Linked DNA regions of Tribolium castaneum. The protein of the gene in region 1 interacts with the protein of each later gene in a pairwise test. Links are inferred from orthologs where the notes say so. Each region holds a gene or a part of one and is shown on either strand. Other genes may lie near its edges. The genes, in order: Vps51 and Exo70.

Region 1 (4,265 bases):
CGAAACTAAGAAATCTAAACAAATGAAACTGATTCAGCTTAAAAGAGGAAGGTATGAACCTTAGTGCTTTAATATTTTTTGGAGAGTTACAGCTGAGATGATAAAAACATGAAGAACTCTCTTTTAAGTTTAAAAGTTTAAAGTTTTAAAAGTTTAAATAACTTAAAATTCTTAAAGGAAACGCCGTATTACTTATTTTTGCTCGTAAAATACTTTCAAATTGTCTTTCTAATAAATAACATAAACATTTAATAAGTGTTTACAAAAAAGATATTAAAAAAATCAACTATTATTTCTTATTACAGTAATTTTTTAAGTTCTTAATTGCACTATGTGTACAAGTAGTACAGCTTTAAGTTTGAACTTTCTTTAAAAATGTGAAAACCTGATTTCTGTAGTACGAGCCCTAATAACTAAATGTTTGGACGAAATCTTGTTTTATTTTTATTTAGTTTTATTTTATTTTTATTCATTTTATTTATTTATTATCAAACTGGTTTTATTACAACAATACTATTTATAATTTGTATGGATTCAAACTTATGAAATTCACTAAATACTAAATACTAAAGTGTTTTCTGAACTTTGTTATTAGAAAATAAGTTATTAGAAAAAAAAATTAAACGATGAAATTTTCCCACTTCGCTTGGCAATGTAAGGAGCTAAAAAATTTAACATATGACTATCCAGTTTTGTATTATTATTTGACCTTCAATTTCATGGGATTCTAAAAAAAATTATTACGTTCCCGAAGGTATGTTTATTTAAAAAAAAAGGTGCTTCTTGTCACACCACAAAACTTTTGAATTAATAATTTGGTAATTCTTACATTAATGTTATGCCTTGACCAGCTATTAGCCCTGATTTCAATATCATTGTGTCTTTTTGGCACAAAATGATAAGTTATCCTAGAAATCTTTCTTAGTGGTAATTGAAAGATTTAAAAAACAAAACAGAACATATTTGGAACAATAAAACGCCTGAATTCTGTTACAGATTCGTTAAAAATATGCCTTTTTAAATTTAAACATTCAGTAGCTTGACATGCATTTCCTTTACAAAAATGTATTCTTTCAAACATTTAGGGTCGGTTTATAGAAACGTCATTAAGTTAATCTGCAATTAAATGCGTGATTAACTGATCACGTGACCAAATTGAACAAATTTAATTGGTCCATTCGCGTTGTTAACTTTTAGCGACGAATTAACTTTTAACAAAGCTTTTTATAAACCGGCCCTTAGTTGTTAGGGCTCGTATTTTTACTTTTTGTGTAGTACTTTTCACAAAAAAAAATTAGATTACATTTCAAAAACTAAGCGGAATCTACAGTAAAAGTCTATAGAAAAATACCAATATTGAAAGCTACGTTCAGTAAAATAAAAAATATTTCATAAAAAAAATGTTTATATTGTACCTAATTGATTTCTCAAGACCGCTGTAGATTTGAAAATAATTTTAGGTAATGAAGTGATGTATTATACTAACTTATAAATGAACTTCCATAAAATTAATTAAATAGAAGTCATTTAAAATCACTTTGTAGTATTGTTTTGATTGGTTAAAAATTAAAATGACTAAAAACGAGTTTGTACTGTATTCAAAAACATAAAAAAATAGTTATTAATAATACGAGTGCGAAAACACAAGCTTAAATTTCGTTATGCAACGAGTGTATGCGAGTGTATACCTAGACACCCGAGAACTTTCAGCGTTTTCGTATAAATGTTATTAATTTTTTTTTGTTAAGACATTTTTATTCAAAACACGTTGCTATGGCAAACGTGTTTTAAAATAGTGTTTATAATCTAGAATTCAGATATTAAAAAGAAGACTTAAAATTACCAACAAAAAAATAATTAAAACGATTATCCACTTACGCCGAAAAATCCACATCCCTGCACAGTGTGTTACTTTCAATCCTTTTATAAAACCGGTCCAAGGCTTGAACTAAAACAGCCGTATCTCCAACATCCTGCTCCAAATCGACTTTATTTTGCACCAAATCGAAATACTTCGCCATGTTTTGTTTAACAAAGTTGTTGAGTTCAGTTGCAGCAAAATTTTCGAAAATATCACTATTTTCGATATTATCCAAATTGTTGCGATTGATAAACATGTCGTCAAAGGAAGCCACAACCAGACACAAATCGCTCAAAAATCCCGAACAACCCAAATCAATAAATTCGGAAATGTCCCGTTGCTCGCTTTGGTCCTTCAGCATGACTAGTTGGTCACTGAGACGTTTTTCGGCACAAATCAAAAATTCAGAACACAACTCTTTGGCCGGCTCGTTCAGTTGCAGGAGCAAATCCACACTTTCGGTCAGTTCCTTGGCCGAGGCTTGAGGGTTACTGAAGTGCTTCCTCAGTTCTTTTTTGAGCTCAATAAGGATGGTTTCACAGTCGGTTTTGATGCCTTGCAAGGATGGCAAGTTACCGTACTGTTCCAAGACACGCTGGGCGTGCAAATAGTCCTGAACCGCCTCAATGTATCGCTTTTCCTCCATTCGAGTTTTCAAGCTTGTTGGCAGTTTGAATAAAAACTGGAGGCGCTGCAAAAGCGTGTGCACCCCCGACAATTTACTAATTTGGCTCCTTGTGTCCTGAAGAGTCGAGTTAATTTGGTCGGAAAACGACGTAATTGACGACATGTTTGAGGCGAGGAGGTCCATTTCGTTTTCCATTTTTTTGAAATCGACTTTCATCTACGGCACTAATTCACTTTTCGGAAAGAAAAACGCACCAATACCTTTTTTATGGTGTCTGTAGCCGAAATAAATTTGTTATAATTTTCGTAAACTAGGGTTTGCATGTCGGAATGCAAGGTTTGTGTGTCTTTGACGATTTCGCTCTCGTGGTCCATTATTTGCTTCAAGTTGGACTCCTGCAAGAGGGTGTCAGTTCAAGGGTGAAAAAGGGGCTATTGTTACTTTGAATAATTTATCCAAATACATGTTGGGGTTGAAGCTGGGACTGTTCAGGTCCAAGGGGCTGGGCTTTTTCTCCGCCATTTTTGGGTTTTTGAACACTTAATTGAAAAAGAACTCAAAAAACATTTTTTGTATTGTTGTCACCAAAACGTCAAAACAGATGATCAGGTGTGCTAGTGGCAGAGTGTGCACAAGCTCGAAACAGTTCATAAATCAGTAAAAATTCTCATTTACAATAAAATTCGATACAAAGTGATTGATTATTATTGTGTTGGCGTTATTGTGCTTAGGATGCGTCGTTTTTTTGCGTAAATGGGCGAGGGATTCGAAGTTTGCGCCACGGGAACCACGTGTATTGATTCCAGTGTGGCCACCCCTCTGCGGCGAAACTCCCTCCCCAAAATGTAATTTTATCAGCGACGATGTTTATTTAAGACTCAAATTCGCTCACATTTCTTTAGTCCCGCGTCTGTGCGGTGTCGCGTGTCAGCCTTTGTCGCTTTCGCGAAATAACAAATCATGAAATCAATATACAGTAAAATTTGATCATGTACCCGGTTTATTTCTTTTAGTGCTTACAAATTTTGATTTTCATTCTTCACCTTTCACAACAAAATCACCTTCTCGAATACTAGCAAAATTCAATTGGAAAAACTAAGTTTCGTCAAAACACCGGAAATATGGATAAAACGACCAGTGGCAACGATAAAACCTGTTACAGAGTTGTCCTAACAGGAGGTAAGTCGACCATGTGATCCTCCACGAGATTATTTTGGGTTTGTACAGGACCATGTGGCGGAAAAACGACCGGTCAAGCCAGGCTGAGCACGTTTTTCGAAAATATGGGATGGAAGGTAACGCCAATTTTCACTTTTTATTACCAAAACGCAACCCAATTTATTGCTCCCACAGGTCTTCAGGGTACCGGAGACCGCCTCAGTTCTACTAAGGTAGGTGTCATCAGCGTTTTCCAATGTTTTATTGAGTCATATTCCCATATTTAGCCCAGAAAATAATAAAATTGTGTTTTGGCACCCGGCCTTTTACCACAAAAAGACCGTTTATAGTTTTTATACGGAGTGGTCCGAAATAACTGTTTCTGTTGGCAACTCTGTTACCAACCAATTTTGAATTTGTAAATTAATGCAAAATGCACAAGAAATAGGGGCCTAGTGGAGTCTGAAAGTCTGGTCGTAATTCTTGAATACCCAACTGTGTTTTGGATCTCTGCCCTGATCAGGGAGCACGTGGTTTTTAAATTTATCACTTGAGCTAAAATTAATGGCCTAATGGGTGGCCAACAATATCTCTAATCGTTTCATTATTTTTTAAGTT
Region 2 (3,826 bases), on another chromosome or scaffold:
GCTTACTATTTTTAAGACTAAGGATCGGTTTATAAACGTCATTAATTTAATCCGCAATTAAATGCGTGATTAACTGATCACGTGACCAAATTGAGCCAATTTGATTGGTGTATCGGCTAAATTTAGGGAAATCTCATGAAAATCCCTTTAAAATAACTTGATTTATCTAGAAACGCAGTAAAAAACATATCTTTTTATTCAAAATAAGAAAGTTAATACCGACTTCCGGTATAACCGGAAGTGCCGCCATGTTGAAAATATCGCGGCTTTACACAATTTGCAGATACTTATAATTATTAGAACATTCAGTACTTTTAATATGCCGTTTAAGCGAAACAGCCTGTATATTGTGGCGTTTATTTAAAAAGTTTTTCTTTTTAGGTTTACTTGATTTTCAAAATTTTGATTTTTCAAAGATTTTGGCGGTTTTGAATATTTTTTTTTCTGAGATTTGACATGATGGCCAGTTTTTGATAAAATTACATAAAAGACACGTAATAGACATCAAAAAAATAAGAAAACATGTTCACTTGTGATATTAAAAGATGCTAAAAGCGAAAAAAGCACTTTCCATACTCATCAGAAACAGTTATTTGTTGGATTTTTTGATCATCCGTGTGTACCTTGTCGAAAAACTGGCGCCATTGCTGTAATAAAAAGTATATATTTTGTGTTTTTTGCATTTTTGGGCGCTCACGTCTCGTAAAAGTGTTCGTTTGAGTTCGGCCTCGTCCGATTCGCTCGCCAGATCCGTGTGATCCGTGTCGTAATGATCCGGAAACGAGGCCAAAGATCCGGTGATTGTCGCTATGTGTCCGGGTTCGATTCCGGATTCCGATGATTGGGCATGAGTAAGATTTGTTGGCAGGATTTGGGTGGTAGAGGGCGACACTCGATGAGGCCACGCCGAGTGCGACAGCATAATACCGGTAACTGCATGGACCGGTTTGCGTCTCGGCTAACTAAAATTTGCAATTTATGCCAAAAAATTGTCTTTGCATATTGTTTTTTATTTTACTACTGTTATTGTTGTTGTTACAGCTGTGAATGATCCTTGTCGCCGATTAAGTGGTACGAAAACTGAAAAAATGGACGAATTTTCCTCACAGCACCATTCACAATCGGAAAAACTCAACGAAAAGGTTTTCCTCGCACTAAAAAACCATACACCTGTCTCAAAAAAACTGAAAAAAAACAAAAACACGCCACACGTTCTGCACTCCGGCAATTTCCACTTTTCCCCAACGTCAACTCGAAATTCCCCTATCGTGAAAATTCATCCCCTCTCGAGAAAATCGTAAGGTTTCATTGATTTTAAATCTAGTCGGCCGGGGGAAGATTGGGGTGGTTTTGGCCGAAGTTAGGGTGAAACATTTGACGGGCGACAAGCGTGAATCACAGAGGGTGCGTGTCTAGACCAAATAATCAGAAATTCCGTTTCTTTTCATTAAATTTAAGGGAGAATTAGATTTTTTCGAATCGTTTAGGGATTTGTTGTTTGTCAAGTTTGACAATGTTTTTCTTTTAAATAATCATCTTGCTTTCGCAGTAATTATACATTACTTTATGTTTTCCACCCAAATGCGCGAAGGACGTTAAAAACGTATAGAAAATTTCGAAAGTAGCACTTTATTTAGAGTACAAATATTTAAGGGTTAGGATATGAAAAGATGTAGAAAATAAAACGTTCCCGTCCTATGTTTTCAGACCAATGAATTTGAAAAAAAAATTGTATACCGTTTAACACATAGCAAAGAAAAAAATATAGGCACATAGAATATTAAATTCTCCATAGTAGGACATAAACATAATACAAAAATTTTATCGTAAACTATATTTAAAAAAACTTGTACCAATTTGCACTCTACCCCATATTTTTCAAAACGCTGTGAATAGAGTTACAGATGCAAGAAAAATGTTAAAAAGAAAGTTGTAGAAAATTAAATTTTTTACAAAAAAGTCCGGGACACCATGTTTTTATGAAGATAAAAACATGAAGATAAACTGTTGAAGAACAGTTTAGGTATAAATTACGTTTCCGTTACTTGAGCGTTTTTGAACGTTTTTAGAACCTAAACTGTTGACGATAGAGATATGGCGTCACGAATTTTTTATATTAAATTTATTTCTCTACAAATTTCTTCAAAATTATTTCCTTGTATCTTTAACTATATTCGCAAAGTCTTGAAAAATACGGGACGAAACGCAAATTGTAAAATTTTAATAATTTTTTTTCTCGTATTTTTTTATGAAAATTTTAGACCATTAAGAGTACAAAGCTCAATATTTTCGCGTTTTTTTTCAAGTAATAGTGAATTCGTTGGGTTTAAATAAATTTGGCGCCGAAACAATATAACGTTTGAAGCGCCCTCATTTTTACTCCACCGGACTATTTTTTTGGGTTCAGATAATTTTGAGATTTCGTATTTTCTTTCGTCTCCTAACTTATAGTCCTCCGTAGCATTCTCTAGTTTAGGGATTTGCCAATTGTCAAGTTTGTTGATTTAGTAACAAAAGACGTCAATAATGTTTTGCTCGTAAAGTCTTCAATTTTGGAAATAATTCTCCAAAATATTGGGATTAAACAAGATGAATATTATCGAGGAACGCACTTATGAGATTACAAGCAAATTGGAGAAAGTCAGTGATTTGGTAATCGTGACATAATCTAACTTATGCCCGTAGGAGAAATCTAACCTATCTTTGCTGACTGAAAGACTGAAAAAAAGCTCTCAAATCACGAAAGGCATTGATACGATTCTCAATTCGTTTGAGGAGCGTCTTTCACGGCTTGAAGACACTATTTTACCGGTCTACAATGATACCGAAAATTTACAAAAATCACAAGTCAGTATCCTTGAAACGCCCCTAGTTTTCGTCTCAAATATCAAATTTAGTTGATTTTCCTTGACTCAAATAACCAGATATCGACCAAACTCTCACATATCTCGACGATGTTATAAGCTATTACAACGTATCAAGTGACGTTGAAAGCACAATTGAGAAAGGACCTGGTGAGAGCGGTATCGATTTAGACGACTACATCCACTCATTAAATCGCCTGGCGAAAGCCCAGAAATATTTCGAAAAACACATCCCCCAAAGCGTGGAACTCGAAAATGTCGTACGTCTAACCCCCATTTTTTAGGTCAACAAAATTTAAAACAGGTTTTTAGACCACTTTATTTCATAAAGGTAGCGACAAACTCAATTCCGAATTTAAAACAATTTTGGACAAATACAACACTCCAATGCTTCCGGTCGTTCTCCTCGATTTGATCAATTACGAGAATTCTGACAACCGCGAAAAGCTCCCACCTGTTCAAATTCCAGACCATACGAAAGCCTATTTGATTAAAATCGCAAATTGGCTACTTGACAACGGCCGAGATGAATATTTAACAGTTTATGGTAAAGTGCGTGGGGCTGTTTTACAGCGGTCTTTGACCATGTTACGCAACCACCAGAAGAGCGTAAGCGGTGGGAGTGTCCATGGTGTTGCCAGTTCACCAATGCTGGTTGGTAACTTGTGCTGGTACTAGGGCTGGGCAAGATAATCGAGTAATCAGTTGATTAATCAAATAATCGGTTAATCGTTATTGACACAAAGTACGTTCAAATATAAAAATTTTATCCGGAATTTTTCGGAACTATTCGGGTTTTTCCGTCGGAAATAAACCTTTACTCAGATGGCGCTACGGATAGTGGCGGCAAATTTGAATTCAATCTAAACCTTGTTCGTTTTTTTTTTCATTTAATAATAAAACAAAATTATAAATATAATTAAACACTAACAGAAAGTACTAAATATAAATATTAGACTACT

What was found.
Region 2: the proteins of Vps51 (region 1) and Exo70 interact in a two-hybrid assay, tested with the Drosophila melanogaster proteins (2 studies listed by BioGRID). The link is inferred for Tribolium castaneum from reciprocal best matches to the Drosophila melanogaster genes Vps51 and Exo70.

What each region holds. Positions count from the first base shown.
Region 1 is NC_087395.1:17,183,004-17,187,268, reverse strand, and holds the start of Vps51 (vacuolar protein sorting-associated protein 51 homolog), read right to left. Parts: upstream 3,117-4,265; 5' UTR 3,012-3,116; coding exon 2,931-3,011; intron 2,885-2,930; coding exon 2,750-2,884; intron 2,706-2,749; coding exon 1,879-2,705; intron 1-1,878. Other genes in the region: Ttd14 (TRPL translocation defect protein 14), read left to right, coding at 3,611-3,668, 3,717-3,784, 3,843-3,880. UniProt on the Drosophila melanogaster protein: May act as a component of the GARP complex that is involved in retrograde transport from early and late endosomes to the trans-Golgi network (TGN).
Region 2 is NC_087399.1:7,152,582-7,156,407, forward strand, and holds part of Exo70 (exocyst complex component 7), read left to right. Parts: intron 1-623; coding exon of another isoform or gene 624-647; intron 648-697; coding exon of another isoform or gene 698-922; exon of another isoform or gene 923-962; intron 963-1,018; exon of another isoform or gene 1,019-1,041; 5' UTR 1,042-2,589; coding exon 2,590-2,640; intron 2,641-2,685; coding exon 2,686-2,851; intron 2,852-2,924; coding exon 2,925-3,124; intron 3,125-3,176; coding exon 3,177-3,518; intron 3,519-3,826. Other genes in the region: stet (uncharacterized protein LOC657740), read right to left, coding at 624-647, 698-922. UniProt on the Drosophila melanogaster protein: Required for exocytosis. Thought to function in intracellular vesicle targeting and docking before SNARE complex formation.